Sus scrofa: one gene and its partner. The protein of the gene in region 1 purifies or fractionates together with the protein of each later gene. This does not show direct contact. Links are inferred from orthologs where the notes say so. Each region holds a gene or a part of one and is shown on either strand. Other genes may lie near its edges. The genes, in order: ARID4A and BRMS1.

What was found.
Region 2: the proteins of ARID4A (region 1) and BRMS1 purify together in Homo sapiens (affinity purification with western blotting; 3 studies listed by BioGRID and IntAct, with this or other methods). This does not show direct contact. The link is inferred for Sus scrofa from reciprocal best matches to the Homo sapiens genes ARID4A and BRMS1.

What each region holds. Positions count from the first base shown.
Region 1 is NC_010443.5:187,382,272-187,398,809, forward strand, and holds the start of ARID4A (AT-rich interactive domain-containing protein 4A), read left to right. Parts: upstream 1-3,082; 5' UTR 3,083-3,263; intron 3,264-4,349; 5' UTR 4,350-4,400; coding exon 4,401-4,406; intron 4,407-6,542; coding exon 6,543-6,653; intron 6,654-8,190; coding exon 8,191-8,256; intron 8,257-8,292; exon of another isoform or gene 8,293-8,921; intron 8,922-9,368; coding exon 9,369-9,459; intron 9,460-16,538.
Region 2 is NC_010444.4:6,044,006-6,059,591, reverse strand, and holds BRMS1 (breast cancer metastasis-suppressor 1), read right to left. Parts: upstream 13,516-15,586; 5' UTR 13,365-13,515; intron 10,459-13,364; exon of another isoform or gene 10,220-10,458; 5' UTR 10,213-10,219; coding exon 10,074-10,212; intron 9,996-10,073; coding exon 9,905-9,995; intron 9,786-9,904; coding exon 9,658-9,785; intron 9,533-9,657; coding exon 9,453-9,532; intron 9,366-9,452; coding exon 9,269-9,365; intron 8,860-9,268; coding exon 8,767-8,859; intron 7,683-8,766; coding exon 7,618-7,682; intron 6,961-7,617; coding exon 6,921-6,960; intron 6,490-6,920; coding exon 6,482-6,489; 3' UTR 5,920-6,481; downstream 1-5,919. UniProt on the Homo sapiens protein: Transcriptional repressor. Down-regulates transcription activation by NF-kappa-B by promoting the deacetylation of RELA at 'Lys-310'. Promotes HDAC1 binding to promoter regions.

The DNA of each region.
Region 1 (16,538 bases):
GGCTAGGGGTCGAATCCAAGTTGCAGCTGCTGGCCTACACCACAGCAACAGCAATGGTGGATCTGAACCTTGTCTGTGACCTACACCATAGCTCATGGCAACACCAGATCCTTAACCCACTAAGCAAGGCCAGGGACTGAACCCGCATCCTCATGGATAGTAGTCAGGTGTGTTTCCACTGCACCACAACAAGAACTCCTGTTTTGCTTCACCTCTGAACATTTTTCCTGATGAAATCTCTAGATGACAAGTATTTTACCTTGAGTTTAAAAAAACAAAACCATGAAAGTGTTTACAGTGATGCTGGGTGATTAAAAATCTAGAACTAGGAACCACAAATGGGTAAAAAAAACTCAGAGATGTTCTAATTTTGAGATTTGTCTAAAATATCATGTCAGGAAGCTAACTGCCTCATTTGAACCCTTTACCGAATAAATAAAACATTCTTCTTTCAAAACAGCTTTCTTCATAAAAACATTCACTAAAAATTTTAATATTGTACAATCACTATTCTACTAGTTTGGGCTCAAACACATTACAAAGCACAATTCTATTAAAATTAATTCTCTTTCATTTATTCCTAAGACATGATCTTTTTTTTTTTTTTTAATTCATGGCTGCACCCACAGCATATGGAACGGAGAGTTCGTGGTTAACGAATCCGACTAGGAACCATGAGGTTGCGGGTTCGGTCCCTGCCCTTGCTCAGTGGGTTAACGATCCGGCATTGCCGCGAGCTGTGGTGTAGGATGCAGACGCCGCTCGGATCCAGCGTTGCTGTGGCTCTGGCGTAGGATGGGGGCTACAGTTCCAATTTGACCCCTAGCCTGGGAACCTCCATATGCCACGGGAGCGGCCCAAAGAAATAGCAAAAAGACAAAAAAAAAAAAAAAAAAAGATAAACATACAGTATACACCTTTTGGTGGCAGCAATACAAGAAATTTTTTTTTTCTTCTTTTGGCTTTTTGGGAATTTCCAAATGCCCAGTAACATGTGTTATTTGGATCAGATAATAACAGTCTTAAGTTAGGTAGTGGAATTATAGGTGATTACCCCCAGGGGAAGTTGAGCAGTTTTATATGTTTTATAATTTCTTTACCAAAAAAAAAAAAAAAATCACTTCTCAACTCTTACTGAAATATCTTTTCTATATGCCAAAATTTTAAATATGGAGGAAAAAAATCATGAAAATGTTCACACTGTTTCTTGATAAAAATATGAAGCACTTAAAAAATCCAGAAATGGGAAAGGCATAATTGAGTAAACAGACTCATAAGTATGTCCTAATCTGGGGACTTCATTCTAAAGTATCACATCAGGAAGCTAGTTATACAGACTTATTTGAACCTTTGACCAAACAAACACTTTTCAACTACCATTTTTTCATTTTGCTATTTATGGTTCTACTTACTGGTCCACAGAAAAACTTTTTCAGGCAGGCTCACCTCAGTAATACTTTCGGGTATTTGTCACTGAACTGTCCTGTTTTCTTCTGACCAACTGCCAAAAAAAAAATCTCAATAAATTATTAAATCATTCAATCATTTTCTAGTCTGGAGCCCCATGAATAAGAGGGTTCAAATCAAGAATATTATGAAGATAATTTTATGCAGTTATTTAGATCAGTGTGACAAGGTCATTCGATAGAAAAACTAACATGCATTTATTTTAACTAAGAAATTACTTTTCTAGTAATTCTAAGAAAAGGCACTATTGTGAATGAAAAATTGACTCAATTAAGATATTCTCCTAACGAGTAAATGTAGTCAATGTGGACTACCATTGATTTTTACATATTTAATTATTTCATTCTTTAACTCAACTTGCTAATTAATACTTTATTTCCACAATTTCAAATGTAATTTTGTTCTATTGAAAACAACACAAGATCACAACAAGCTCAACGGCTGCCTTGAACAAAGTCCTACCGGGGAGGACCTTTCCTCTAAGGAGTGATGATAAGGGTTAGGTCAGGAGTTTTCAGTCCCTGTATTTCCTCCCCCAAAGTAGTATAAGGCTCCAGAAGGGTGGCACAGCTGCACGTCTAAAGTAGCAGGGCTGCTGCCAAGAGAATTCCTCAGCGCCCCAAACCCAGTTTCCTTATTGCCTCATCGCGGGAGGAGCACGCGGAAACACCTCTCCCCAGGTAGGGAGGGTCTAAGAACCTTACCTTCCCCGTCTTCCTGAAAAAGGAGCCTATAACTGGTGACACTCGATCACAGAGTATGACAAGCTGCCGAAACCCACTTCCAAAGAAGGGAAGTACTGCTCCCAGAGAAGAGGAGCCCAAAGGATCGGCCAGGAAAAAAAGACCAGCTCGTCTCCTCCGCCTCTTTCTCTTTGGCAGCGGGAGAGGAAGCCTCGCCCCCTCTCAACCCGCCTCCCGGCTCCCCTCCCCGCCGCAGGGAGAACATACCCGGCCATGGCTGCCGCGCGGCCCCCTCACTTCCGGTGCCGGTGCCTCCAATGCTGCGCCATCCCCCAGCCCACCGGACAACCACAGCTTCGAACTGACCTTTCCGGCAGATCGCGACTCTTCCAACGTTCACTAGGTTTTGTCCTGGAGAGAACGGTGGATGGGTGCCGCAGAAAAACGAATCTACAGACTAAAGAATCCGCTCTCGTCTGGCCAGAAACATAAAAAGCGATAGAGCTGCAGCCACCGCTGCCCAGACAAAATGGCGCCGACAAGCTGGTTCGGCGCAGGCGTCTTGGAAAGACCTGCCCCGCCCCCGTGCAAGTCCTGGGCGCAGCGCCGGGTTCGGTTTCCATGGGACACCCCACCGCCAATCCTCGTGCCGAACTGCTCTTCCTGACCCCCCCAATTGACCAATCAGTGCTCAGTCAAGCACATCCGGAGTCCTCTTTACCAATCATTTCTCAGGATTTACTAACTCAATACCTGATTCTCCAGTAACGTTAGTCTTCGGAGACAGCCAATCATAAGTGGAAGATGTCCTACCTGCTATTTTTCGCACCAATCCGGGAAGTTTCAGAGCTACATCCAATGAGGACGGCAGGTAGCGAGCTCCAATCCGAAACTCTTCGGCGTCATGAGCAGCCAATAGGAGTTCGTGTAGAAGCGAGACTGCTCAACAGCTTGTTATTTGGTGGATTGTGGCAGTAAATCGGGCGAGTAGGGAACCGGGCGCAGGAACTGCCGCGGCGGCCGAGAGTGGTGCTGCCCGGACGGGGGCCCACGGGGGTCAGTGGGGCGGAGGACTCGGGAGCTGACAGCGCCCACTTCACCCTCAGTTGGTAGGTGGGGAGAAGGGAAGCGGGCGATACTGAATGGACGAAGCGGTACTAGCAGCTGGTGCTGCTGCCCGGGGTCCCGGTACAGTTGGAAGCTTTGGAGGTGGGGAGGGGGATGCTTGGCAAGCGGGGCGACAAGCGCAGGAGAAGGGGCAGTTCGTGGAGCAGCGGCAGCAACTGCAGGAACAGCCGCTGCAGCTGCCTCCCCGGCCGCTTCCCCGGGTTCCCCGGGAAAATGGCTGTGGGGCTGGCCGCGCCGCTAAGTTTGCTTCCGCGCGGCGAGAAGCTGGCTGCTTGGGGGAGCCGGCCTCTAACTCCGCGGCGCGTCCTCCCCCCTGGAGTCCGTGGCAGGACCCGAGGGGCTGGGGGCTGGTACCGCTCTGGGCTGTACAAAAAGTTGAGGCGGGCGCGGGGAGGAGGCGGCGGCTGCTGCCGTTCGGCTCCCCTCCCCTCCCACACCCTGTCCGGGCCACCTCCCCTCCTCCTCTCCGCCCCCCCAGCCCCCTCCCCCTCGCGGGTCTTCCCTTCCTCGCGCGCCTCCAAGCTGAAGGCCGCGGCCCCTGCCCCTTGGGGTGAAGAAGCGCTTCTCCTTCCTGACATGGTGCAGAGCGGAGGAAGGAGAGCAATGGCGCCGTGACACTCCGCTGCCGCCACCGCGGGCCCGGGGCGGGCCGAGGGGGCCGAGCTGCGGAGGCGGGGCGCGGGCCGAAGTCGGGGTATCCGGGGGCGGCCGGGAGGAGGCTCGGCGACCGCGCCTGCAGGGGACCTGGGGAAGCCCCAACGGCGCCCTGCCCTTCTCCGGAGCGTGCCGTCCTGGGGCTCTGAGTTGAGCATTCCGGGTCAAAGTGGCGAGCGAGGCGGGGGCGCGGTGGGCCGCTGGCGAACTCTGAGGCGGAACCGCTGCCCTTTGGCGCCCGTGGGGTTCTCGCCGCCCCTCCGGCTCCTGCGTCCTGGCTGCCCTCGGAGGGGCTCTTTCGCCCTCCCTGGTGAGGGTTCTGCCCCTCCCCGCAGGCGTTTGTTTACTTTCTTTCCCCGAGTCGCTCCCCTCTGTTGACTGATTCTGTGCTCGTCTTTCCCCTCCCCTTGGTTCCAGCGGTAGAGAAGATAGCTCGTTGAGCTGGAACCCCACAGATCACCAGTAAAAATGAAGGTAAGTGGAGTCGACGCTGCTCGGAACCTCGTGCCCTGGACACTGCCTGTCGTGAGGCTAGAGCTGTGGAATGTCATTTTTCTTTTCTTTATTTTTTTCTACTCAAAATTGATTACTAAGCTGCGCTTTCTGAAAATGAAGACATGTTGAATTGGGTGAGAAATGATCATTGTGTCTAAATGCGGTCAGTTCGTCCCCTCTCCGAAGCAGTTAGCACTTTGGAAAGGCTGGTGCAGCCTTTCCATTGTTGTCCATTGGGCTAGTATTTTTAAACACTTCCTGTGTTGGCAGCAACCTTTGCAGAAGTAAAGCTTCTGTCCTGCTTTGGTTGTTTGGGGGATTTTTTGAAATTTGTTTTTTTCTTCTCCAGTGCCAATGCGATTTTCTAAGGATGGAACATGTGGATTGTGTCAGGGAGATAGCATTTCTTCTGGGGATAAGGTGAAATTCCGTGGCTAAAATATTTGAAAATGAACTAATACTAAGTATTATTATATATTATAATTATTATAATTACTAATACTTAATTTTAGTTCAGTCTTTATAGTATTTAAACATATTCAAACTAAAATAAAAGTCTTCAGAAGACAATTAATATTGGAAATAATATTGCAAACATCATATGTGATGTTTAAAGGTAAAGAAGTTATAGCATCCTGCAATTCTGTGGCCTTGAATGTTTCGGTCATCTACTTATTTGCCAAAAGTATTTCTCTTTAATTTGCCCTAGTTGTAAATGCACTAACTTTAAAAGATACTTTATTCCTTACTCATTAACTTTCAGTGTATTAAGCTCTGAAACAGTATTTTCCCAAACTTTTTCTTGTGTTCTTTTCTCCTTGAAGGAGATGTATCTCTTTGACACATGTATCTTCTTTAATGTTAGTTGAGAAAACTTACTGGAAAATGAAAAATCATTTTCTACTTAAAAATATTTCTCTATAGACTTTCACGTTTGTACTTAGAAGTGTTGAATTGAGCTTGAGTACATGTAACTTTTAAAAAAAATGACAGATTGAGATAGCAATCATTTTGTTACTGTCAAGATTAAAATGAATGGTGGAGTGAAATTTCTCACACCTTTCAGTGTATCATTCTGATCATGACCATTTGCTAAAAATAGACATTTCTTTGTGAAGCTTTTTTTTTTTTTTTAAATACCAAGATTAGTGTGATGAATCTTGTAGGTACAGCTACAAGTCTTGAGGCATCAGTTCATATCTTAACCCTTTAAAATGTAGCTTTTAGCCAGTGATTTTTCTAAATTATGCTCTGCTTATCAAAAGGGTTGTCTTCGTTTCCTAGCCATACATTTATTGTGTATCCAAAAAGATGTTGCCTTTATGTAGCTATAATAACACTTAATCATGATGTATTGTTAGTGTTAATTGGAATAGCAGTATTTCTTTTCATTTGAAAACAAAATTTTCAGGAGTCCATTGACTGAATAACTTAAAGTTTTATGAGACACTTACTATGAATATACCTTTTCTGGATTTTTAAATTTTTTTGGATTTTTAATTTAAAATTTTTTGGATTTTTTTTTGGAGTTCTCATCATGGCTCAGTAGTTAATGAATCCGACTAGGAACCATGAGGTTCTGGGTTCGATCCCTGACCTTGCTCAGTGGGTTAAGGATCCGGCATTGCCATGAGCTGTGGTGTAGGTTGCAGACGCAGCTCAGATCCCGCGTTGCTGTGGCTCTGGTGTAGGCAGGCAGCAACAGCTCCAAATTTTTAGACCCCTAGCCTGGGAACCTCCATATGCCGCTGGTGAGGTCCTAGAAAGGGCAAAAAGACAAAAAAAATTTTTTGGATTTTTAAGTTAAAATTTCTTAAAATCTGTCTGTTATAGAATTGTTGACTCATTTTGTACCTGGAGGGAAAAAAATTATATATTCCTACTGATACTTTCTAGTTACAATTTCAAATGTTTTATGTTATGAGGATATAGTTTATAAAGCAAAGGATTGCTAATAAAGTGTTTGCTTTAGGGTTTTTTTTTTTTTTTCAAATTATCAATGACATTAATAAGCAAATAATGTTCTTATTACTTGAAGTACAGAATCTTTTGAAGAGACTTGAGGTTGGAATAAGGGAAAATAGTGACATTCACATTTTCTGTTCCTTTCTTCAGGCGGCGGATGAGCCTGCCTACCTGACAGTGGGGACTGAGGTCAGTGCCAAGTACCGAGGTGCCTTCTGTGAGGCAAAGATTAAGACTGTGAAAAGGCTGGTAAAAGTTAAGGTAATTTTCCTTTTTAATGCAACAGCTTTATTAACTCAGTTGAAGAGAGTTGGGAATGGGGAGACTGCAAATCAACATTTTATTTATTGAAGCATTGCGCTTAGTGAATCATTTCTATGTAAGAGCACTATTATATATAAAACTATAGGGAAAAAGCAATTAAGAATTGAGAAATAGAAGTTCCCATTGTGGCTTAGCCGGTTAGGGACATGATGTTGTCTCTGCGAGGATGTGGGTTTGATCCCCGTCCTAGCTCAGTGGGCTGGGCATCTGGTGTTGCTTTGGCATGGGCTTCACCTGCAGCTCTGATCCATCCCTGGCCTGGGAACTTCCATATACCACAGGTTCAGCCTTAAAAAAAAAAAAAAAAAAAAAAGAGTTCCTGTAGTGACTCAGTGGTTAATGAGATGCAGCTTGGATCCCATGTTGCTGCAGCTGTGGTGTAGGCTGGCAGCTGTAGCTCTGATTGGACTCCTAGCCTGGGACCTCCATATGCTGTGGGTGTGGCCCTAAAAAGCAAAAAAAAAAAAGGAGAAATAAAGAACTCAAAATGAGAGGTATTCCAAACTGCCTCTGTTAAAATACTATCCATGGGAGTACCCATTCTGGTGCAGTGGAAATGAATCTGAGTAGGATCTATGAGGATGCCGGTTCTATTCCTGGCCTTGCTCAGTGGATTAAGGATCTGGCATTGCTGTGAGCTGTGGTGTAGGTAACAGATGCAGCTCGGATCCCAAGTTACTGTGGCTATTGTGTAGGCTGGCAGCTGCAGCTCCAATTTGACCACTAGTCTGGGAACCTCCATGTGCTGCAGGTGTGGCCCTAAAAAAAAAAGCAAAATAAATAAATTAAAATAAAATAAATACAGCAATTGTTTGGGAAGAGCTTATCATACATAAATTACCTAGAATTTGAAATTTCCTCTTATTTGGGTACTTATGCCCTTTCCAGCTCCCTTAACCCCACTCTCTTAATAGAGCAAGTTACCCTATATTTGTGGGCAGGTCTGTAGTAGAACAAAGCACTTATTTGTGACTGAATTGCATATTAGATTATTATTTAGGTTTACTTTATAAAGCACTAGAAGACTTCTGATTTTAATTTGTTAACCTTGCCTGTAGGTAGTAAAGTTCCATACTGGTTTGGGTTTTCTCTCTTTTTTTTTTTTTCTGTTTTATTTTATTTTTTAAATACATTGCTGACAGTCTAAACCTTTATGACTAGTTGATAAAAAGCAGCAAAAGCAGTGTTAGGTTTTACACTAATCATTGCAGATTATAAATCTTCTATAGTTAAGTTGCTGTAATACGCACTGACACTTGCTAACTGCTGGGGATGTAGTGATGAAGGAAGACTTTCCTTCAAGGAGCTCACAGTTAATGAAAGAGATGATTAGCAAAAATACTAGACAGTGTATACCATAGGTAACCCCAGGATGCTAAGAAAGCATAGACCAAAGACATTTTTGTTCCAGTGTTACTATTAATGTATTGTTCTAAAATTAACATGCAAATTATTGTGCGAAAATGTTTTTTAGGTACTCCTGAAACAAGATAATACTACACAGTTGGTGCAAGATGACCAAGTAAAGGGTCCTTTAAGAGTACGTATTTTGTTCAGTTTACAATCTGAAATGATGAATCATAAATTCATTCAGTGACTTATTGAATTTTACATTTGTAGATATACTTAAAATGTTATAAGAAATGTTAATACGAAAACAAAAATACAAATGAGATATTGTATAGCTAGTAGATATTAAGATATTGCAATAGCTGTATCCTTAGTTTAAGAATGTTAAACATGGAGTTCCTTGATGGACTAGGGGGTTAAGGATTTTGTGTTGTCACTGCTGTGGCTTTGGTTCGATCCTTGGCCTGGGAACTTCTATATGCTGTGGGTGTGGCCTCCCCAAAGAGAATTTTAAACATCTTACAGAAGGGTAATTTAATGTATATGAATATGAGTTTTGGCTACCTTTTTTTTTGAATTTTTGGTTTGAATACCTCGTTTTGTCTTTCATATTGTTGCCATAGATGTTTAGCATGCTAAATAATATGTTGGTATTGTAAGTCTGAATCTTCTGTTGTTTTAACCTGCAAACTAAACTATGTTGATTGAATACCTACATTATGTTTTCTATCCATTTCTGGCCATTTATTTATGTAATAAATCTTTGTTATGTCAGAGTACCACTTCGGTTAATATCTGATATACAAAGGTCTGGAAGCTGAAAGAAGGTCAACTGGTCCATCCCTCTCTCTCCAGGTGAACCTTTATCTGAAAGGTCCCTTAAATACAAATGCTGAATCCGATATTCAATATTTCTATGAAAGAAAATTGAAGCTATTTTTGCTATTGTACTGGTTTTTTGGTTCTTATATTCAGTTTTCTTTGGCAATATGATGTAAAAAACCCTCTGAAATAAGACTTTAAAGATGGGATTCTCATCCTGGTCCCTTTTCATATTCTCTCCCTGAGCCACAATTTTCAATGTGTAAAATAGGGATAATAATAACTACCTAACTTATGCCCAAATGTTTGGGGACTTGAATTGCATGATAAATGTATGAGCGCTATAAATGATAAAGATTTAACCCAATGTAAGGTAGAAGTATCATAAAGAGACTTTTTTTTTTAAACCCAGGTCATATAGTAGTAGGAGTGATTTGGTTTGTTTAAATTTGGTGATGAAATTTCACTTTTGTGTTTTAGGTTGGAGCTATTGTTGAAACAAGGACATCTGATGGATCCTTTCAGGAAGCTGTTATCAGCAAGTTGACAGATGCTAGTTGGTATACTGTGGGTAAGTAGTTAGGTAACTTAATATATAAGATTTAATTAGGGGTTTCATATATATCCTTCTGTTTTATAAATACATTGAATCATTATCTTGGCAGAGAAATACATGCTCTTATCTGTCAATTTATTTGATAGAGATGGCTAAAATTTCAATGACACCCTGATAGTAAAAAAGCAGTCATCTTTTGGGAGTTCCTGTCGTGGCTCTGTGGTAACAAACTGACTGGTATCTGTGAAGACTCAGGTTTGATCCCTGGCCTCACTCTGAGCTGTACTGTGGGTTACAGACATGACTCAGATCTAATGTTGCTGTGGCTGCGGTGTAGGCCAGTAGCTCTAGCTCTGATTCGACCCCTAGCCTGGGAACTTCCATATGCCACAGGTGTAGCCCTAAAAAGACAAAAAAAAAAAGGCAAAAAAAAAAACCAAACAAACTCTCTATAGTAACTTGGCCACTTATAGCTATTTTATCCAACAACATACTTCTTTTTTAGGTTGTCTTGTTATTTCTCTTCAAGAAAGTTAAATTATAGGATTATTTTTCTTCTGTTAGAAAAGTCAATATCACTTAGTATTGTAAATAATCAGACTTTTTCTGACATTAGAATTAAAATTGCAGAGTTGCAGTCTGTATCATATTGCTGCCTGTTTTATATAAGAATAAGTAATATAGATGTTACCACAGAATTTACAGACTAAAACAATTCCGACCAGAGTAGATTCAAGCCTAGGTGATAATAGTTTAATTTTTGATTTTCAGGGTAGTTACAACTCTCTTAAGTAACATCTTTCAAGAAAGACATATGTGTATGTATATATATATATATATATATATATATATATATATATTAGTAATGTGAATGCATTCTTAATATTTCATGCATAAGCTTATACTGGCTTTCAAAAATTTTACTGAGGAGTTCCCGTCGTGGCGCAGTAGTTAACGAATCCGACTAGGAACCATGAGGTTGCGGGTTCGGTCCCTGCCCTTGCTCAGTGGGTTAATGATCCGGTGTTGCCGTGAGCTGTGGTGTAGGTTGCAGACGCGGCTCGGATCCTGCGTTGCTGTGGCTCTGGCGTAGGCCGGTGGCTGCAGCTCCGATTCAACCCCTAGCCTGGGAACTTCCATATGCCGCGGGAGCAGCCCAAGAAATAGCAAAAAAAAAAAGACCAAAAAAAAAAATTTTACTGAGTAGCAACAGTTGTCATAACACATGTAAAAGACAACCTAAATGTGGTACCTATATAGTTGCTCATTGATGAGAATAGCAATGATTAACATTTCCAAATCTTTTCTCAGTACTTTCAGATTATACAGTTCTATGGATAACATCCAATCTTTGTCTTTACACCAAATATCTATAACATTGTTTGGTTTTTACATTTATGTCTTGGTATAAGAGATGTAGTTATAGTGTTGTGGTTTCCCTGTAGGAGGAAAAGAAATGACGCTTTAGGTTTGATTTTTAGTTTACTTGATTTGTTGCTTTGGATAAAAATCATCTCTAGTTGATGCTCAAAGCTGTGAAGAATGCACTTTGATTGAAAATTGTACTTCCTGTGTCTTACTCTGTGGCTTCTCTTAGTAGTAGCGGTTTGCTCTATGCCACTAATATTTTCTAACCATTTTGATTTTTCTTGGACCTCCTAAAAGTTAGTGTTGGTTCACAACGATGCTATTATTCTGAATGATACATTTCTAGGAGGCTTAGTTGTGGCTGTTGAAATGGTAAGAGATTTAAAAACTAAACTTAATGTTAATAACTCTTAGAGATTAAGTAAATACAATTTTGCTATATTAAAGCAGTGGTAAAAATTACAGGAATTGATGTGAGTAGAATCATGGGAAATTAAATGATGCATGTTCAGATGCTAATATGCATCCTGTTTGGTGTTCAATATCAAGGTTACATTCACAATACTTGTGATGTTTTATGGACATAATGCTTATGCCTCTGCAGAAGAAATACTCAGGTATCTTGAATTTCTGCACCCCAGAATTATCCTTCAATTATGAATGGCAGTCTTTATCCTTCACATGAATGGCATTTTAGTATTTCTGAAAACTAGTTGCTACTGAGCATTCTCTCTGGTGACTTTCTATGATAGGTAGTTATAGGAGAAATTGTATAATTCTTGTTCTCAAAGAGTTTAGAATCTTAATTTCATGTATTAATTATTACTGTACATAAGAATCACTTGGTGCTTGTTTGAAAAATGAGGAACCCCAAATCTCTCCAACTTAGTAGGTCTGGGTTGGCAACCCAAGAATCTTTCTTTCTATAAGCACATTGGGTTAATCTAATGCAGGTAATACACACTTAGAAAAACAGACCACACTTGTACAAACAGACTGATTTGGGAGAAAAATTCAAAATGTTTAAGATTAAAGATGTTAAGAGGCACTACTCTTGACTTTTTTTTAAATTTAAATTTAAAATTTTAATTTTAATTTTTTTTTGGCACTACCCTCTTAAGTATACCCAGTATAGCTCTCTGCTATAAGAATGTTTAGGTATTAAAGGATGTAGACCACATACATATCAATCAGTATTAAAAGATGGCAAAATAAAATGTGTGATCTCTCACAGGTTGTGAACTTTCTGTATTTTTCATTAATTGTGCACCTACTACTTACTGGGTTTAATCGCTCTTCTCTGGAACTTTTTTTTGGGGGGGGGGCACACCTGTGGCACATGGAGGTTCCCAGGCTTGAGGTCGAATTGGAGCTGTAGCTGCTGGTGCACACCACAGCCACAGCAACACCAGATCTGAGCCGTGTCTGTGCCCTACACCACAGCTCGTGGCAGCGCTAGGTCTTTAGCCCGCTGAGCAAGGCCAGGGACTGACCCCTTGTCCTCATGGATACCAGTCGAGTTTGTTAACCACTGAGTCACAACGGGAACTCCTGGAATTTTTCTTAATTTCTGATTCTTAGCAAAGTGTTACATAGGTAGAATCAGAACGTTACACTAGGTTTTATTAATGGTCTAAATTATTATTTTTTTAAAGAGAACCTGAAATTATGTCAGATTATTAAAAATGAAACGGGGATACCACACTGCTAGTTTGGATCAAATAGGAGTTATAATTATTTATGATCAAAAGTTATATTAAGAAAGTGGTATTTTAATTCCTTATATAATATCTGTATTAATTTTTCCACGTATAGCTGAATAACCAACTTTGAAAGAGATTATGGATTTACTATAATTCAATTTTTAAAAGATCTAAGAATACCTTTCCCTCTCATAGTGCACAATAAATAGAATCAGTTCATGGATTTTTGTTTGTTTTTTGAGACTTGGAAGTGTTTCCTCTTCCTATCGTAAAATAGTGCTTCCTAGCATAGTTTATTCATTTGGTAGTTCTTATCTTTGCATTAAAGATAAGGAATCTGTAATGTATGGAAGTGTGTTCTTATCTGCTCAGTCATTCGGAATATAACAAGATTGAAATTAGAACTCATATCTTCACTTGTGGGTTGCCTTTAATTCCTGGCAAATACAATGTCAGTAATACATTCTAAAACTGTTCTTTTGCTCCTTTTTTTTTTAATTTTTAAAAATTTGATGGTTACACCAGCGGCATATAGAAGTCCCTGGGCCAGGGATTGAATCTGAGCCACAGTTGCAGCCTACCCCCCAGCTGTGGCAACACAGGATCCTTTAACCCACTGCACTGGGTCGGGGATTGAACCTGCACTTCAGCAGTGACCAGAGTCACTCACTGCATTCAGATTCTTAACCCACTATATAGCACAGTAGGATCTCCTTTTGCTTTTTTGGAACATAAAAATATATTCCAATTTGGAATTTGAGAAATAAGGAAAACGTTGCTATTAATTTAAATAATTTATATTTAAGTGTACATAAACATACATCATATATCAAATTTAAAACTAGAATCTTTTCTGTCATTGCTATATTTTTGTGACAAATGCTTTTTAAGATTTGGGATTTTTTTTCCCATGCCTGTAACTATTATTTTGCACATCAGTTGTTTCAGATCTCATGGAAGTTCTAAGTTAAAAGAGTAGAGGAGAAATCAGTAAATGTGCTGTTGTAGAATGTGCTGAAGGATTATAAGGCTTTTAACTTGATTAGAACCTCTTACGACAAATGTTATAATGAGAATCAACCACAAAATGTTTTCAAAGCCAAGTGGTTATTCAATTGACTGAAAAATAATTCATTAAGGAAAAAAGTACTAACAAATCTGTTCAGTCCTGTGATAGGCTTTAACCCATTGTTTAAATAGGCTTCTGTAAGACTTCACATTCCCATATTTTGTTAATGTAATTATACATTGGAATGTTAATTTCTTAAGTTTCCGGATTCCTGAAGTTTTTGATTTTGGTTGCTAAGAGATTTCTGTAGTTATCACAGATGATTTTATGAGTAACAAAACTATTGGTCTTACCTAGGGTATCCATATATTTTTAGTTTAAAAATTTTTACTCTATTATGTGATAGATTTTGTTAATCATAGCTTTCATAAAACAGATGTAACAATAATACTTATTTTTGCCAAGTCAGAATTCCTAACTTCTGCAGTTCCCATTGTGGCTCAGAGGTAACGAACCCGACTAGTATCCATGAGGACACAGGTTCAATCTCTTGGCCCCTCTCAGTGGGTTAAGGATCTGGCATTGCTGTGAGCTGTGGTGTAGGTCACAGATGTGGCTTGGCTCCTTCACTGCTCTGGCTGTGGTGTAGGCTGTTAGCTACAGCTCTGATTTGACCTCTAGCCTGGGACTTTCCATGTGCTATGTGTGTGGCCCTAAAAAGCCAAAAAAAAGGAAAAGAAAAGAAAAAAGAATTTCTAACTTTCTCCACAGTGTTCATTTTATGCTTCTGCTTCATACCTATTTATTACTCATTTTGGTCCCTCTTAACTACGTATTGTAGCTCGTAGATGGACCTTCTGATTGTCAATTTCTTTATAAAAAGAAGATAGTGATTCTTACCTTGTAGAGGCTGCTGTATGGATTAAGACATAGTAAAAGCTTAATAAGTAGTAGCCAATTGTATCTTTGGATAGATAAAGTTAATTTACTGTTGTTATTATCTTACTATTCTCCAGCATCTAATAGTGCCATGATAACAGATCTTTTTTTTTTTTTTTTTTGCCCATGCCTGTGGCATGTGGAAATTTCTGGGCCACAGCAGCGACCCAGGCCACAGCAGTGAAAACACCAGATCCTTAACCCGCTGAGCCACCAGGGAACTCTTAGATCTTTTGTATCTAGTGGTTAGATTAAATCCCTTTTGCTGTTGTTTCTTTGAATTCTAACAACAGCTAGAATTAGGCTTTGTATATTTGTGTTAGCATTATTTTGTCTAGTATGATTAATATTATGGAGAGAGTCTTAGCTTTTTCATTATCCTCAAATTAGATATTAATATTTGTATGCAAAATAGTAAAAAAGATACAACTTTTGTAGTATCTGTTCTCCCACTCAGTGAGTAATCTATTCAAATGCCATTTTTGGCAAGTACAAGACATTTCATGTCTTGTAATTCCTAAATCCTTAGAGTCTGACTTTTTTTCTCTTGGCATGCTGTAGTATACATCCTGAACCAAAAATAATCTAAATTTACTACATACACAAGTTAATTATTTCACTCTTTTTTTTTTTTTTTTTTTTTTTTGTCTTTTGTCTTTTGAGGACCGTACCCGTGGCATATGGAGGTTCCCAGACTAGGGGTCTAATTGGAGCTGTAGCTGCCGGCCTACACCATAGCCACAGCAACACCAGATCCAAGCCACATCTGTGAACCTATACCACAGCTCCAGCAACGCCAGATTCTTAACCCACTGAGCGAGGCCAGGGATCGAACCCACAAACTCATGGTTCCTAGTCGGATTCGTTTCTGCTGCACCACGACGGGAACCCCTATTTCACTCTTATCAAAATGCCAGTCACTCTTCAATGCCTTCAAATTTTGTATTCTTTTAGATGATGATTCTAACATGCAAGTTAGAGAGGAAACTTCATACAGATGGAACTTCTTAATGATTTTGATAGTCAAGGATTTCATGATTAAATAGGTCCACTATGTAGTTGGATTTGTCTTTCAGTAGACCTTAAGAAGTTGCATGCCTCAACAAACTGTATAAAGTACTCAAATACATACCTTTGTATAGTTTAGTGATTTAAAAAAAATTCTTTAATTCTCTTTGTTCACTTGAAATCAGAAGGGTTCCTATGTAAAACTGTAAAGTGGTTGTTTATACCTTAATCCCCTTTGGCTCTTACCTTATTTCTACCTATGATAAATGGTGTTGAAGTGAAATTAATTTTTCCCCTTCAAAAATCTGATGTATTTCAAAAGAGTATTTTACAAAACAGCAACTCAACATTAAATTGTTGAAATTTCTCATCACAGCATTTTGATTTGGGGCTGGCATTGATTAATAACAAAACATTGTGGAAAAGATTTTGTTGCCTAAATTTAATATTAGTGATTGGTACATTCTCATTTTCCTTCTTCACACCTCCTCCACTTAAATGTACTGTATGTGAGTACATATGTGTATGTCCACTGTCACCATCTTTGGTATTGTCGGTATCAAGGAAAATTGGAACTTTCAGGATTTGTTTCTTGAGCATACTCATGGACATTAATAATAAGAGTAATTATTTTGTTTGGTATGATAATTTCATGATTTTGAATTTTTTTAAAAAACAGTGTTTTATCGTACTTGACACTGTGTGAGTCATTTTTTTGTTTTGTCTTTTTTTTTTTTTTTTTTTTTTGCTATTTCTTGGGCCGCTCCCACGGCATATGGAGGTTCCCAGGCTAGGGGTCTCATCGGAGCTGTAGCCACCGGCCTACACCAGAGCCACAGCAACGCGGGATCCGAGCCGTGTCTGCGATCTACACCACAGCTCACGGCAACGCCGGATCGTTAACCCACTGAGCAAGGGCAGGGACCGAACCCGCAACCTCATGGTTCCTAGTTGGATTCGTTAACCACTGCGCCACGACGGGAACTCCCTGTTTTGTCTTTTTTGTTTTTAGAGTTGTACCTGCGGCATATGGAGGTTCCTAGGCTAGGGGTCTAATCAGAGCTACA
Region 2 (15,586 bases), on another chromosome or scaffold:
CTGTGTCCCTCCCCTGCTGCCAGGGTTGGGCACACTCACCGCTGAGGGCTGGCTGGCCTCCAGCTGTGGGGGAATGAGAGGCAAAGGGCCCTGGGCCCTTGGTCTGGGGCCCCCAAAACCCCCTCAGCTTTACCCCGGGCCCCAGACGTGGCAGCGCAGGCCCTGCCCAGCTGGTGTGATCACGGTGCTGGGGAGTCAGAGGTGGCGGCAGACACGGGAGCTGCCTGGGGTGGGGAAGGCTGAGGGGGCTGACGGCTCTCAAAGGCCTTCCCAGCGGGCTCAGAGTTTTCTGCCCCAAGCGGCCTTTCTGTCCACTCCCAGCTACTCCTCTGCTACCAGGCTTCCCTCAGCCTCTCGTCCCCGTGGCTGAGTGGGGTCCTCCCTGGCCTGGCGCCCGGCCCCCTCGGCCACTGTCTCAGACTCTCCCCCGCTGTCCCTAGGGCTGGCTTCGACCTCGGTGTCCCCGTCTCGCCCTTTCTCTTCCTCTCTGCCCCCTGCCTCTGGCCCCCACTGCCCTCCTCTGCTGCAGCCCCAGGGGAGGCCCCCTGGGTCTCAGGCCGCTCTGCCCGGCGGTAGACGAGGTAGCCGGCTGTGGGCAGCCGGTGGGCCAGGGCTCCGGGGGGCAGGCGGTGGTAGTCCTGCCCCTTGTACAGGAAGAGGCTGAAAGTGTCGGGCTGGGTCACTCGGAACTTGGTGGCACAGAGTTTGTTGAGCGTGGCAATGGAGGCCCCTGGGGGCACAGCCAGGGTCTTGGAGGTACAGCCACTGCTGGGGTCCTGATAGGCTACTCGGAGGAGGTGCTGTGTCAGGAAAGAAGCAAAAACAAGAACTCAACCCTGCCTGGTACAAAGCCGGCTGCAAAGCTAAGGTGAAGGTGCAGGCTTTGCAGGATCAGGGGTGGGGCGGGCTATGATCTAGTGGTAGAAGCAGTGGCGAAAGCTTTCTGGTTAGAGTGAGCTCTGAGGGGGGCTTGAGGCCAGCAGGGGACATGCTTGGGCTAGTGGGTCACTGCTGAAGGCTGGAAGGATAGCAGTTTCCCCAGAGGGAACAGTCATACTCAGAGCTTACTCTGTGCGGTAAGCGCTTGCCCTGAATTATCTAGTTCACCAACCCCAGAACAGCAAACCAAGGAGGTAGGTACTATTACCCTATTTTATAGACGAGAAAATTGAGGCACAAAGAGGTTATATAACCTGCCCAGGCTCTCATAGCCAGAAAGCAGCAGAGCCAGCATTTGGATCCCAGATCTGGCTACAAAATCTGGACTCTTAACCAGGGCTAGGAAGGGTCCTTGGGGTGGGTGGAAGGAGGGTGAAAGGCCGAGATGGTATCGGCTCTGAGGATCCTGAACCTGAGCCCAGCTGGGAGGGCGAGGGGGATGTGGGCTGGAAGCCAGGCTCTGGAGCTTGAGCCTGCCTGGGTCCCCTTCCTTCTGCACGTCATGTCTCAGTTTCCTCGTCTGTGAAATAGGATAATATTGATCCCACTTCAGAGCTTCCGAGCCCCCGGAGCACTGCGCACAGCGCCGGCTGGTGGAACACACCCTCCAGAAAGGCTGGCCTGGGCATGTGTTCCACATGGGGTGCTGCTTCTGTTCCCCTGCTGGGTCTCACTGGGCAAAGGCCGGGCCTGTGCCAGATGGCGCCAGATGCCCCTGGCTGGCCAGTGTGGGTGGACTTCTCTTACCTGGAAGCTGTGGGTAGCGGGCAGGCAGCGCTGCTCCCAGAGGCTTAGGGAGCGCTGCAGCTCCTGCGCGGGGCTCAGGGGGAGGGTGTGGGCCTGGTCCAGGCCACTCAGCAGGGCCAGACTGGCTGAGAGGCTGGTCAGGTAGTAGCCGCCTGGGACATGAGGGGAGGAACGAGTGTGAGTGACCTGCCCCCCCCCCCCCCACCCTGCTAAGGCGCCCCAGCCCCACCCAGATGGGAGGCGGTGGGTGGGGTTCCTCACCCTCTCCGGTGAGCAGGGCAGGCTCCAGCACTCTGACATGTACTCAGCCTCCAGCAGCAGCTCAGGAAGGTCACACTGGGCCAGGACAAGGCTTAGCAGTGGGAGGAACTCATCAGCCCCAGCTCCCTCCCCTGTGGGGTGGGGGAAGAGAAAGCTCAGGCTCCTGTGGGGCCTCAGGGTCAGAATCCACTACTTTCTTAGACAACCACCCACCCCTCTGCCTGCCAGACCTTGGGCAACGTGGAAACCATGGCAACCAGGGGCAGGGCCTGGGGAGCGGACGCTCTGCTTTCTGAGCCACAGTTTTACCATCTGTGAAATAAAAGGACTGGACCCATTTTTTTCCCTCCTGGCTGTGCTGTTTCTGGAGCCTCTGCCTGGTTGGCCTGCCTCTGACTTGGCAGGGGGCCAGTGGGAGGGGATGGGAGGGGGCATACCCGCCTGGGTCCTCAGGGCTGTGTAGAGCAGCTTGCAGGCCTGCAGGAGCCGCTTGACCTGGGCACTGGGTGAGTAGGCTCGAAGCAGCTGCAGCAGCTTCTGGCGCACCTGCTCCACCTCTACCGGGGAGGGCAGGCTTAAGCGAGACCCAAAGGCTCTGGGGCCCTGGGTCCGGGCCAGGCGGAGGCCTTCAGCCAGGCGGCCCAGGGAACCGCTGGTGGAAAGCCGGCGCCGCAACCGAGCCACCAGGATGGGCCGGAGAGGCTTGAGCACGGAGCGATGCAGCGACTTCTCCAGGACACGTTCTGTCGGGGAGTGGCAGGCAGCGGTCAAGGGAACCGGCGGGGGCGGGGCAGAGTCAGGTGTCGGGTGGGGGATGAAAAAGAGGAGGGATCTTGGTGATGTGGGAGAGCCGGGGAAGAGAGGAGGTGGAAAGAATTTGCTTGCACGGTGGTGAGACGGGCTGGGTTTGTGAAGCAGCGGAAGAGACTGAGAGAGGGTGGCACTGTGGAGGAGCAGCAAGAGCAGAATGGGAACAGCTAGAGTTATGCAGAGCCAGCCCGGACCAGCGGAGCCCTAGGCCGGATCTTACCCAGTCTTTCTGGCGGCAGCAGCTTCTCAGGGCCCAGCTCTGCACTCAGCATGGCCCGGGCCCGGCTTAGCGCCTCTCGGATACCCTGCAGTCCTGGGGCTCGGGGCTGGCCCGCACCTGGGTCAGCAGGTCCTGCACCAGCTGGCCCACGGCTGTGTGTCGGTCCTGCATCAGCGCGGCAGCTGCCCGGCCAACCTGCCGCTCGGGTGCCAGCAGGGAGCAGAAGGCAGCGCTCATGGATCGAAGCAGAGGCCGCCGGCGGCCTAGGCAGGGGGAGGTCGCTGGGCTCCCCTGGGACCCCAGTGCCCCCTCCTCCTCTGAGCTGCTGGGGGAGCCGCAGTCTACCTCCTGGAGGGAGGGCAGTGGTGGGAGGCTGGGGCCGGCGCCCCCTGGCACACGGTACCCCACTGAGCTTTCCCTCCGCAGCAGCTGGCGAGGCGGCAACCTTTCTGTCTGATGGGGGGCTGCTCCTGGCAGCACCGGGACTGGGGGGGGCGGCACAGCCGGTGGAGACAGGGGGCTGGAGGTCTCCGTGGACACACGCACTTTGAAGCTCCTCTTGAATTTCTCCCGCTTGGTGGGGCCCAGGTCCCCTGGGAACAGGGGGTTGAAGAAGCACAAGGCGGCTCCGGTGCCCTGGTCCAGCTCTTGTGGGGACCGTGGCTTCAGCCGGGGCAGCAGTGGGCCCTCGGCTGGGCCCGGTGGAGCCTTGGTGTTGAGGGAGGAGCTCCAGAACTCTAGGAAAGAGAAACTGTTGGGGCCTCAGGGGGTTCAGGGAGGGGGCCAACCGAGGGAAAGGCACGGGCTTCAGGCTCGTGCCCATATGCCTTCCCTTTCCCTCTTGGCCTCAACTTGTCCAGCTGTGCAACGGGTCGCAGAGGTCCCCTTACCGACGCCCAGATGGGAGATGGCTTCCAGTTCCTTGTGGGTGGCTGCCAGGTGGATGGCTCTGGGGAGCTGGAGCGGGAGGAGAAGAATGTCCCTGAGGCCAGAGAGGGGAGCAAAAAGTCAGGAGGGAAGAGTGCTCCAGGCTGTGGTCTGGGGGGCGCTGAGAGCGCCTGAGGGCTTGGGGACAGACAGGGTGTCCAAGGGAACAGGGCCCCACAGACAGCAGGCACCCTGCGGGCAGGCTCACCGGGTGTGGCAGTAGGCACAGATGAGCTGGACCAGGTCCGGGAACACCAGCTCTGAGCCCTCCAAAGAGATGCCTGAGAGATGGGAAATGAGGTCCGTTCCCTGGGGACCCCACCCCCACCCCACTGTGCCCTGCCCTGCTGGCTGCCAGCCCCTTCCCGCCAAGCCATTCATTCCCTCTCACCCCCAGGGCCTTCTTGGATGCAGTGGCTGGAAACGAAGGAGGGGCCACTGGCTTCAGGCAGCCGCACGCACAGGGCTTGGCACTGGCGAGTGTTAGATTTCCGCACCAGGAAGGTCTGCGAGTGGACAGGGGGTGGGGGCTCAGGACCTCTCTGTCCAGACCCTCCCGTCCCACCCTTAGCCACCAGGCCCTGGGTGATGGGGAAGCACTCACCCCCGGGGGCTCCGTCCTCAGCACGTGCAGTGCGGCCGCAGCGTTGGCCCGCAGTTGCAGCCACACGGGCCGGGTGAGCAGCAGGCGCTCCCGCAGGCTCACGGTGCGCCCGGCTGCTGGGGCCCTCCTGCCTGTGCCCCGCCGGCATCAGGCACATCGTACAGCGGGGCCTGGGCCGGCCTGGGGGCGGACACCAGACCTGAGCAGGGGGCCAGGGGCTGGGTGCGACCCTTGGTGAACCCTCTCCCCCTCCTTTGCCCCGACCTGCTCTGCAGCCCCTCCCAGCCCTCTTGGGCTGCCCTCCCAACTTTACTAACTTTCCTCTCTCCAGGTGCCCAGGCGCAAAGCTGGTCGGGTTGGGGGTTCCCAGAAGGCCTGCTCCTGGCTCCCCCGTGGTTTCCATGGCGGGGAGCTCCTTCAGTCGGTTTCTCCCGGGACTCAGGAAGAGAATCCAGCCCCCAAGGCAGGAGCTCGCACATTCCCAGTGGTGAGTAACACTTCCTGAGGGCGGTTCGCCCTGCCACACCCGCCAGTTAACTCTTGTGTGTCCACTCAGCCCGGGCAGTGCCTGCTTCCCCTGTTCTGGGCTCAGCCTCCGGGGGCAGGAATCCTCTGCCTGCAAAGTGGCCCTCCAAGGGCCCCGACTGTGGGGCTACCACCTCCACATGGTGCATCCTGCAGCCTTGCCAGCCGCCTCCAACCACACAGGTGGGCAGGAAGGGGTTAAGCAGGGCCTGTCTAGGTCCCCGCAGGCCTGGGCCTCGCCTCTGGGGCACCTTGAGGTCCGGGGTCAATTGCTCATCTGTCCATGGCCTTGAGGTCAGCTTGTGGGAGCGCGCCCCCTACTGGTCACAGATGACTCATTCTTGAGCTTAACTTGGGTTTTGGGATTTCGGGTTGTCATGGAGAAAGGATGATGTGTCTCCATGGAAACCAACCCCTTTGCTTAACTGAGGTTCTGGGGGTGGTTCTAACACTCAGCCCTGAACAGGGGGGAGTCTGGCTGTGAGGTCGTCAGCACATGGTGCTGCTGCTGGCTGCCTCCCACGCGCCCAGGCTCTGCCAGCCTGCCTTGCCAATCTGCCAAGCGACTGGGGCAGGTGCAGACATGATCTGGTCTCCAAGCACCAAGCACCCAGCCCGCTTCCCCACCCAAGGCCACGTGCTCTGCCTCTGCCACATGTTGCTGCAGACTCTGCTCGCCAGCACCAGGCAGTCCAGGGCCCAGCCGCCCACCTCTGGGGCTGGTGTGTGGCGGAACCCCTTCCTCCCAGCCTATACCCCAAGTCAGAGTGGGTAAGCTCCTGCTAGCTAGTAAGAGGAGGTACGGGGACCCCAGAAAAGATGGCTTGTCTCGGGCACTCTCCATGAGAGCCCTGACTCCCTGGCAAGGTTAATCAGACACGTGTGGTCATGTCAGAGTCCCAGGAAAGGTTTTAATTCCAGTCCCTGAAATCCAGGAGGCAGACATCACGAGCAGCCTTGAGAGGACGACCTGGAGAGCCTGCCTTCTCACCTCTGGCAACAGCCAAGACACACAGGCCCCCCAAATACAATTTCTGGCTCAGAGTTCCTGTGAAGCTGGACTCAGCTCACTGACGTCAGTGACTGGGGAGCCGGGTCCCAGGGCAGCAGAAAAGATGTTGCTTTGGCCGCTGCTCTGGCTTAAGACGAGGCGTGTCTTCATCAGAGAGGGCACCGAGGAGGCTGACCTTCTGAAGGGGGAGGAGGTGGGCTGGGTGGGGAGGGGGAGACAGTCTTGCCTGGCGAGGGCAGCCCCAGGCCAAGCTGCACAGGCCCCCAGGAGGAGTCCAAGCCAGTGATGGCTGGAGGGAAGGGCTGAGCAGCAGTGCGGGTGAGCCTCTGGGGCAGATCCTGCGGGGCCTGTCAGCCTGCCTTTCTGCAGCAGGAAATTCAGATCCTGGATTTGGTGCCAGCTGCTCCAAGGGGCCCCCTGCCTGGGAACAGCAGGGTCAAGGTCCTGGGGGTACACAGGACAGGAAAAATCACTGCAGGGGAGGAGACTGAACCAAGGGGGAGGCAGGCACTTCATGTGGGGGACTGAGAGGAGTGGCCTGAGGCCAGCCCAGGAGGGCACAGGCCAGCTCCGCAGCCCCTTTCATGGGCCTCCCTGGTGATCTAGGTCCGCCAGGCCAGCTGCTGGGGCTCAGCATTCTACCCTCCCTATCCAGTTCGGGTGGGGGGTGGGTGCTGCAGGGGGGGGTCCATGCCCCAGCCCCATTAACCTAGAGCTTTCCCACCCACACGCTAACTCCCACAATGCCCTCAAACCCAGACTAACTCTCTGACAACGGACAACGGATCTGACAGGCCCCTCCCTGGGGGCTCCTTTCCCGAAGGCTGGGCTGGGGGAGGGGCACTGGGAAGCAGAACAACCCCTGTGGTTCTTACCATCTGATTTTCTCTTCTGAGGGGACACAGCTGCCCTCGCCTGGATGGGTAAGAAGAAACCCCCCTGAGAGCCTGCCTCTAGCTTGGCAAGCCCCACCCCCACCCCCCATCGGCTGCCTTCCTGCCTTCCCCTCCCTCCCTCCCTCTCTCCCACCCCCATCCAAACCTGCCGCAGCACAAGCAAGGGGCTGCACAGACCAGCAGTTCCCTCAGCCGGGCAGCCTCGGGCAAAATGAGGCCAGTGAGCTCCCAGAAACTCCAGGGAACTGGGCTGAAGGCAGAGTGTGCGGAGGGCAGGCTGAGCAGAGAGCTCCCCAGGGTCTCAGAAGGCCCACACGTGGAGAGCCCGAAGAGACCACAGCCGGTGGCTTCCCCCCCCCGCACCCTGACAGGCAGCATCAGACCCACTTTTTTTTGGTCTTTTTAGGACTGCACCCGTGGCATATGGAAGTTCCCAGGCTAGGGGTTGAATCAGATCTGTAGCCACTGGCCTACGGGTGGAATCCGAGCCGCAGCTACCAGCCTACATCACAGCCACAGCAACGAGGGATCCGAGCTGCGTCTGCGACCTACACAACAGCTCACAGCAATGCCGGATCCTTAACCCACTGAGCAAGGCCAGGGATCAAACCCGCGTCCTCATGGATGCCGGTTGGGTTCGTTAACTGCTGAGCCGCGATGGGAACTCCAGACCCACCTTTTTGATCGCCGTCCAGTCTTCCAGGATGTCGATCTCCTGCAGCATGTACACGATATAAGGGCCTGCAACGGGGTCAAGGAAGCAAGAAGCCTGCTGGAGGAGGCAGGTGATGGGCCTGGCCCGGGAACCCCCGCTTCAGGCGGGGTGGTGCCGTGGACAGGGGCGGGGGGCCGGGGTCAGAGCTCAGCCTCCACGTCCTACCATGGCCACCACCTCTTTCACCCAGTCCATGAGGAGGGGGCTCTGAGCCCCAACCCTACCACTGTTAGGCTCCCCTCACCCCGTCTAAGGTCAGAAGGCCAAGGCCCATCCCACCCACTCAGGGACCTGCCTCTCGATCCCCTGTCCCCTCACAGGGCCCCTTTCCCCACCTATGAAGGCCTCTACTCTCTTCCACCCAGAAACAACCCTCCTTCGGTCTCACAGCCCCCTCCGGGGACCATCCAACTCTGTCCCTGACGTCCCCACACCATCACCTCCCATTCACCCTCAAGTCCCTGTAGTCCAGAGTCCTCCCTCCCTGCTTGAACCTGGTTCCCATCGCCTGGAGGCCAACGCCCTGAGAATCTGATTGGTGCGCGTACGTGGGGGTGGGTTGGGGTACGCGTAAGAATTCATTCGGCTCTGCGCACAGCAGACCCTGGACTGAGGGAGCCTGGTGCCTAGGGCAGGGCAGGGGTAACTGCTCCCAGACTCGATGCAGGAGCCCCAGGCTACTACAGGGGCACGGAGGAGAGAGAAGCCATAGCCCCTGGCAGGGGAATCAGGAGAGGCTTCAAGGAGGAGGTAACACCTGAGACAAGCCCCGAGCAGACATCCGGACAGAAGCATCAGAGGAGGGTGCAGAGTCAGCAAAGAGGCGCAGGTAGGAAGGCCTGGGACATGCCTGGGGACGTCATGGGAAAGCCAGAAGGGCCCCAAAGGAGACCTCGTTTAGGAAGTACAGGGGATCTCTGGACGGATGCTCCTATTTTGCTAAGGTCCACAGAGCCCACGAGAGACCCAGGACCCCACCGAAGTCCCTGACAGCGAGGTCTGCCTGGACACGGCCGCGGGAAACCATAAGGAAGGCTGCTCGGCCTCTCCCGCCCCTGTCCCTCCACCCGCCCTCCTGCCCAGCTCGGGCCAGCCTTGGGGGGACAATACCAGACACGAGAGGGGCCTTCTTCCTCTTGCTGGGCGGCAGGGAGTCCCAGGTCTTCGAGCTGCCTCGGGCGTGCAGCTTGTCATCCCACCACTCTGTGCCCCAGACCAGAGTCAGGATCGGGGTGCTGCTCCCCCTGCCCCCTGCAGCCTGCGACCCTCACGTGGGCCCTCCCTGGGCCCGCCCTTCTTCCCTGGCCGCACAGAGAAGCCCGGGAAAGAGGACGCTGTGCTTTTGGGAGCCTTGGTTTCCTCATCTGTTTCATGGACAGGGATGTGGGGACAACCCCTCCCTCCCCCGTGTCCTGCCTGGACGCAGACACGGGACCAGTCCTCTTGAGCCCCCACTGTGTCCCCCGGGGCTGGGCTGGGCCTGTCCCTGCTGGCTTTCAGTCCCCACAGCGACCACGAGGCAGGTCCTCTAACCAGCCCCCGGTGCAGGTGGGGCAGCCCAGGCCCTGCCTGCGGGCGGCACTGACAGGGCAGAGGGGGCCCCTCGCCTCACCAGAGCTGATGTCCAGGCTCTGGCGGTCCTCCTCCAGCCTCTGGATCCGCTCCTGCAGCTCCCCCTGCAGCGTGTCGTAGAGCAGCAGCTTCTCGCTCTGGAAGAGGCGGAGTGGCTCAGCCAGGCGGGCAGGGGCGCAGCTTCCGTCCCCCCCAGCGCCCACACCCAGGGGCTGCACGGTCACCTCCAGGTGCTGCCTGGCCCCCTGCAGCTCGCACTCGTACTTGTTCCTGATCACGTCCAGGCAGAAGCCCTTGTAGATCCCTGCGGAGGCCGAGGGGAGGCCCTGCCTGACTAAAGGGCAGCCGGGAGCCGGGCGAGGCAGGGGCAGGATGAGGGAGGAAGGGGGCAGAGAGCCGTGGGCTCCGGTAGGGGGACAGCCCACAGACCTGCCACCTGAATTCGAATCTTGAGGCTCCGCTGCAGCCCCCCGAGAGGCTCTGTGTACTCGGGCGCCCGCTCAGCTCCCACCTCCTCCAGCCGCACCCGCAGCTGACTCAGCCGTTCCCTGAACAACCTGGGAGGTAAAAGGCAGCCGTGCACCCCTGTGCTCAGCCGTCAAATGCGTGCGGGCCGCCGCACAGGCCCCAGGCCCGCGGACTCCCGGAAGGCCAGCCCCAGGGTCCCCACACTCACTTCTCCTTCAGCTCCGAGAACTGCTTCTCCAGGTCCAGCATCTCATTGACGCACTCGCTGCGGCGGCGCTCGTAGTCCTCATCGTCCATCTCTGGGACAGGAGGCCAGTCAGGGCTGGCTGGGGCCGGGGCCGGGGCCGGGGGCGGCAGGGCCGGCTTGCGGGTCTCACCTGAGCTCTCCTCCTCGGACTCGGTCGGGCTGCCGCTCCGTTCCTCCTCGCTCTCTTCCTCCTCCCCGTTCATCTCAGCAGCCGAGTCGCCCTCTGCTTCCATCTCCTCTGCGTCTTTGCTCGGAGGCTGGACAGGCATCTGGGCTCTGGGAGTAGCGGTGGAGCCAGTACTTGCCACTACCCACAGCTCTGCCCGAATGTGGCTACTCCAGGAGTGGCCTAACTGCAGGCGGGGGACCACTGGGGAAGGCACGAGACTCACCACATCCTGTGCGTGCCCACGCTCGGTGGAGCAGGTGCAAGCAGCCCTGGCCGCACATCTCCCAGGAGCCCGGGAGCCATGGGCATGCCCGTATGCCCTTGGACACTGTCGGTGATCCCAGGCCTGGGAACACCAGCCAAGACGATGACCCGTCAGCTGGGAAAGGCCAAGGGTGGGCTCCCCACTGCCTACCGGACTGGGCCCAAACCTTTTCTTTTTCTTTTTTTTTGCTTTTTAGGGCCACAGGTGCGACATATAGAGGTTCCCAGGCTAGGGGTCGAATCAAAGCTACAGCTGCCGGCCTACACCACAGCCACAACAATGCCAGATCCGAGCCGTCTGTGACCTACACCATAGCTCACAGCAATGCCAGATCCTTAACCCACTGAACGAGGCCAGGGAGTGAACCCACATCCTCATGGAGACTCGTCAGGTTTGTTACTGCTGAGCCACAATGGGAACTCCTGGGCCCAAACTTCTGATCCGGGCTTCCAAGGCCCTGCACAGACTGGACTTGAATCACCGGTCCAGCTCCTTCACCCCACCATCTGCTGGCCAGTTCTCAAATATACCACGCACTTCCCCACCAGCCCTAACGCCCACGGCGCTATTCTTTCTTTCTTTTTTTCTTTTTTTGGTCTTTTTAGAGCCATATTCGCAGCATATGGAGATTCCCAGGCCAGGGGTCCAATTGGAGCTGTAGACGTTGGCCTACACCACAGCTACAGCAACGCCAGATCCAAGCTGCGTCTGCGACCTACACCACAGCTCACGGCAATGCTGGATCCTTAACCCACTGAGCGAGACCAGGGATTGAACCCGAAACCTCATGGTTCCCAGTCAGATTCCTTTCTGCTGCGCCACGACGGGAACTCCTGTGCTATTCTTCTGCCTACACCGCCCTCCACTTCTCTTCCTGAGAACACTCTACGATGCTTGTGTTCTCACTGGGCTCAAATCCTATCTCCTGCTTCCTTCATGATCTCATGTCCTCAGTGCTGCCCTCTCCCTTATGCATCTTCAACTCTCGCTCCTGACAGCTCCTCCCAGAGAACGTCAGACGTGCTCAGGTATCTACCACCAGAGAGAGAAAGCAGAAACACAAAACCTCACCCCACCCCACTGCTCGCCGTTTTCCACCTCATGGCTACTTTTCAAGGCCTTGTGGACACTTGCTATTCCTACTCGCCCACCTCCCACTTGTTCTGTTCCTGTATCATCACTCTCAGCTGAAGCCCATCCTGTAGAGTTAACTGACGAACTCCTCGTACCTAATGCCAGTATTTTTTGGTGCTTATCTTAGGTTGACTTCTCAGCAAACTGAACAGTCTTAAGCATTCCTTCTTTTAGTCACTCATTTAATATTTACTGAAGATCTAATACATGCTAGGTAGCAGCAGACACTATGGTAGGAGCTGGGCACAGGTGCGACAGTCTCTGACCTCAAGGAGTTTACAAGTTCCTGGGACAGAAAGGCTAAGAAACAGACTGTTGCTGTGGGGTGAGAAGAGTTAAGACCAGGGGCTTACGGGAGAGGCATCTAACTGGGACCTGGAGCCTGCTGCAGCAGTGAGGGCCTGCAGAGGAAGATGGGCCAGACAGATGAGCTGAGCTGGTCAAGAGAGGGTGCATTCTAAGTAGAGTGAGTAGCAGGTGCAAACACCCCAAGAGGAGAGAAGGGGGCAGGGCTGGGGGTCCATGGGTCTAAGCCTCACAGAGAAATGTGGGCTGCAGAGATCTGGTCATCACATCGTGAGTTCTTCAGGCCTTGGGAGAGGGTGCAACCAGCAAGGCAGAATGTGTGGAGTGAGAAGGAGTTCATGATGGAACTTCTAGGGTCATCAAAGGGGCAGATGACAAGATGCCAGGAAAGGAGAAGGAAATTAGCAAGAGACAGAGGAGGAAAAAGTCAGAGTATAGGGGGAGAGAGAGAATTTCAGAATGAAGGAGATGAGACAGTGCCAAATGCTGCCAAAAGATCGCCCAAGAGGAAGACTAAACAGTCTCAATAGATCATTTCTGACTAAAGGGGTTTCTACTTCACCGGATGTTTTCCTCTGGGTACTTTGTAGTCCTTCAGATCCGCGTAGATGCCCCTCCTTATTTATTTCCACGTCTGTTGCCCATCCTCATGCCTGTCTGTGAGCCTCCCCAGGGCAGGGCTGCACACGCGCTTTACCCACCCCGCGCAGTACTGACTCACTAGACCACTGGAGGATTTGCGAATGCAAATTAAACAAAACACATTTTTGCAGGGCAGGAAATGGCTTTCTTAGTAGCCCCTGGTCCCTACAGTGGTAGCAAACCCAAAGTGTTTTGTCACCTTTCCTTGACATCAGTTTGAGTAAACTGACTGGCCTAGAGGGCCGTTTCAAAGCATTCCTCAAGGATTTCACAAATGATCTGAACCTGAGCTGAAAACCTCGGTTCTCCAAATCAGCCTCCTCTTTCCCTTTTTCAAGCCTCAGTTCCTGGAGTTCCCAAACTTTGCAATTTCTCTTCACTGTTAAATATATTTTAACAACTCGGGGTAAGTCCCACCTTTCTGGACCAGAGAGGGCGGGGCTTGGGGGGAGGTCTCTCTCCACCAGTCTCTGGGTCTACTGAGAGAGCCAAATTAAATCACATCCTCCCCACTTTAGCCCGGGTACAAAATGAGGATAACCATCACTACTCTGGGTGTTGTAAAGATGGCAAGAGGTAAGGGATCGAAAAGCAAACTATAAGGTGCTGTGCACATGCAATTTATCTTTTCAGAAAGCGAGCATGTCAAGGGCACGCCTCGTAGGAAGGAAGATTCTTCCCCACCCTCGAAGAAGCCGACCCAGTCCCTCCACGGCGCACCCAGAGCCTCGCGCCCCGCTCCATCTCCGTACGCGGCGGAGCGGGCGGGAGAGTCACTGGCTCCTCGGTCCCGCGGCCCCAGCTCGCGTCCGGGCGGTTAAGTCTCGCTACCGCCCTGGATATTGGGCAGGCTCCGACTGCCTGTCCGAAAGGGCAAACCAGGCGCCAGGGTTGGCGTTACGCACCCGTAGGTAGTGGCGCTTCCAGCCTCACGTCTTAGATTCCCCAAGAGGTGCCGGAGGTTATCGGTACTGGCTGCCGCTGTGGGGGTCCCGGAAGCGCCGCACCGGTCCCTCTTCTCCGGGGGCGGGGCCTACCCGCGCTTTCCGCATGCGTCATCAGGAGGCGCCCATCGGAGTGCTCACAATTGGATAGCTGGGGCGAGGCATGCTGGGATACCGCGGGACGGTTTCCATGGCAACGGACCGACATTCACACAGGCTTTCAGCATGCAGGAAAGGCCCTTGTGCCTTCCTAGCTTTGCAGCCCTCGCGTCTGGGTCCACAGTCACCTCCCGGCGGCGCGAAAGGGGAGAACCTGCGACCCGCGGCCCCCACCCCCGCCCGGTTCCGGAGAGTAATGGAGCCAGCTGTAGGTGTGAACACTCATTTATTTACACATTGTAGTCGGTAGGCAAATCACCCAGCCCAGGCTATTCAAGGGTACAGATCTCAGACGCACAGAACCTGCAGATCCTTCCCTTCTCTAGAGCCCCCGGGACGGAGGCCTAAGACACCAGGAAGTTTCGGCTTCTGCCCAAAAGCTAAGAACTAAATTCAACGCCTTCATCTGATTTCTTTCCAAAAAGCCCATTTTGTTAACTACTCAGACTTCTCAGCTCTGCCCCCATTCATACTTTTTGCTCTCCTACTGCTCACCCACCCAAGATTGTTAATAATAATAACAATAATAATAACAACAATAATAATACTGTAATAATATTAATAATACTTCACATTTGTACGAAGCTTACAGAATGTTTTCACATATAGCATCTCATCTGAGCCTCCCAGCAGTTCTGTGAGGTAGGTATTCTCACCTCCCTTTTACAGACGGGGTAACTGAGGCTCAGAGAGAGAACGGGATTTGCTCAAGGCCACACAGCTAGTTAGTGGTTAAGCTAGGACTTGATCCCAGCACCCCATATTCAAGTCCAGTGTTCAAACACCACAGCTACCACTGTAAAGTGGAGTGACGTTTCTTACCCCAGTCAGGCCTGAGGGGCGGCCTAAGGAGGGAGGAGGCTGAGACTTCTCAGACTAGGGGAAGGAAGGGCTCAGCAGTGACGTGGGGAGTCGGGGTACTTGGCCTTCAACTCCTGCTTGAACTGACGGTAAAGGATCTTATTGTGCTGATTTTCGGCCTCCTTTTGGGGGTGGAATTTCAAAGCTTCTTTGAAGCCTTTATGAACCAGGAAACCTTCGTTCAGCACCTCAAAATCGAATCCTGCCACGTGCAACTCACAAGCCTGTGGAGGGAGAAATAGGTCAGCAAAGTTTGATGAGGTTCCCAGGCCAGAGACGGACATCACTGCTCACTCCAGCATGCCCATTCCTCTGGAGGCATCCTGGATCTTTCAGCCATCCAGCCACCTCCTAAACTATGATCCCTCCTGCCTCACTGGCTCCTTTCCATCCAGGGCCACCCACAGCTCCCTGATTTCACCATCCCTCCTGCCCCATTTCCCTTGCCCTCTCCCTTATGAGCACCTGGCTGATGCGATTGAAGCCATACTGCCGAAAGCGCTCGTCGAAAGTGGGCACCTTGCCTCCGGCCACGTAGAATGGCTCCCAGGGGTCCTGCCAGGGCACCACATAGGAAGGCCTCAGCAAGGTCTCTTCTGGCAGGTTGACCCAGCGGGAGTAGTTGGTGGGCGCTTGGCAGGGCGTGCACAGCCCATAATAGAAAGGCCGCACCTCGCCCACCTGGTAGAGCTGCAGCAGCTCGTTTTTGTTAGTGGGCATGCGGCGAGCTCGACGGATCTCAAAGGCGGGCACCACCAGCGCTGTGCCCGCCCACTGCTTGCTCTGATCCAGCATTTCCCGCAGGCCTCTCCACAGCCCCTCGCTGGGCACCATGTCCACGTCGATTACCAGGGCATAGTTGGCCCCCTCACGAGCCAGATTCCTCAACAGGTTATTGGGGTAGGAGACATTGGTGCCCAGTGCATAATTGATCCCGGGCTGGGCTACCCTGGCTAGTTTGTCAAAGACCTCCTGGCAGGACCGCAACAGGGCAAACTCTCCTGGCTCCCGAGGATCGGGCACGGCGGCCTCATAGCGTGAGGGGCACACCAGGTGCATGGCGACCCTGGCGCGCATATCGGGGCAGTGGCTGCTCAGCGCATAGGTCAGCACCGTGGCCAGCTGCGCCTCCTCCTTGGTGGCCGCGAACACCGACACGGAGA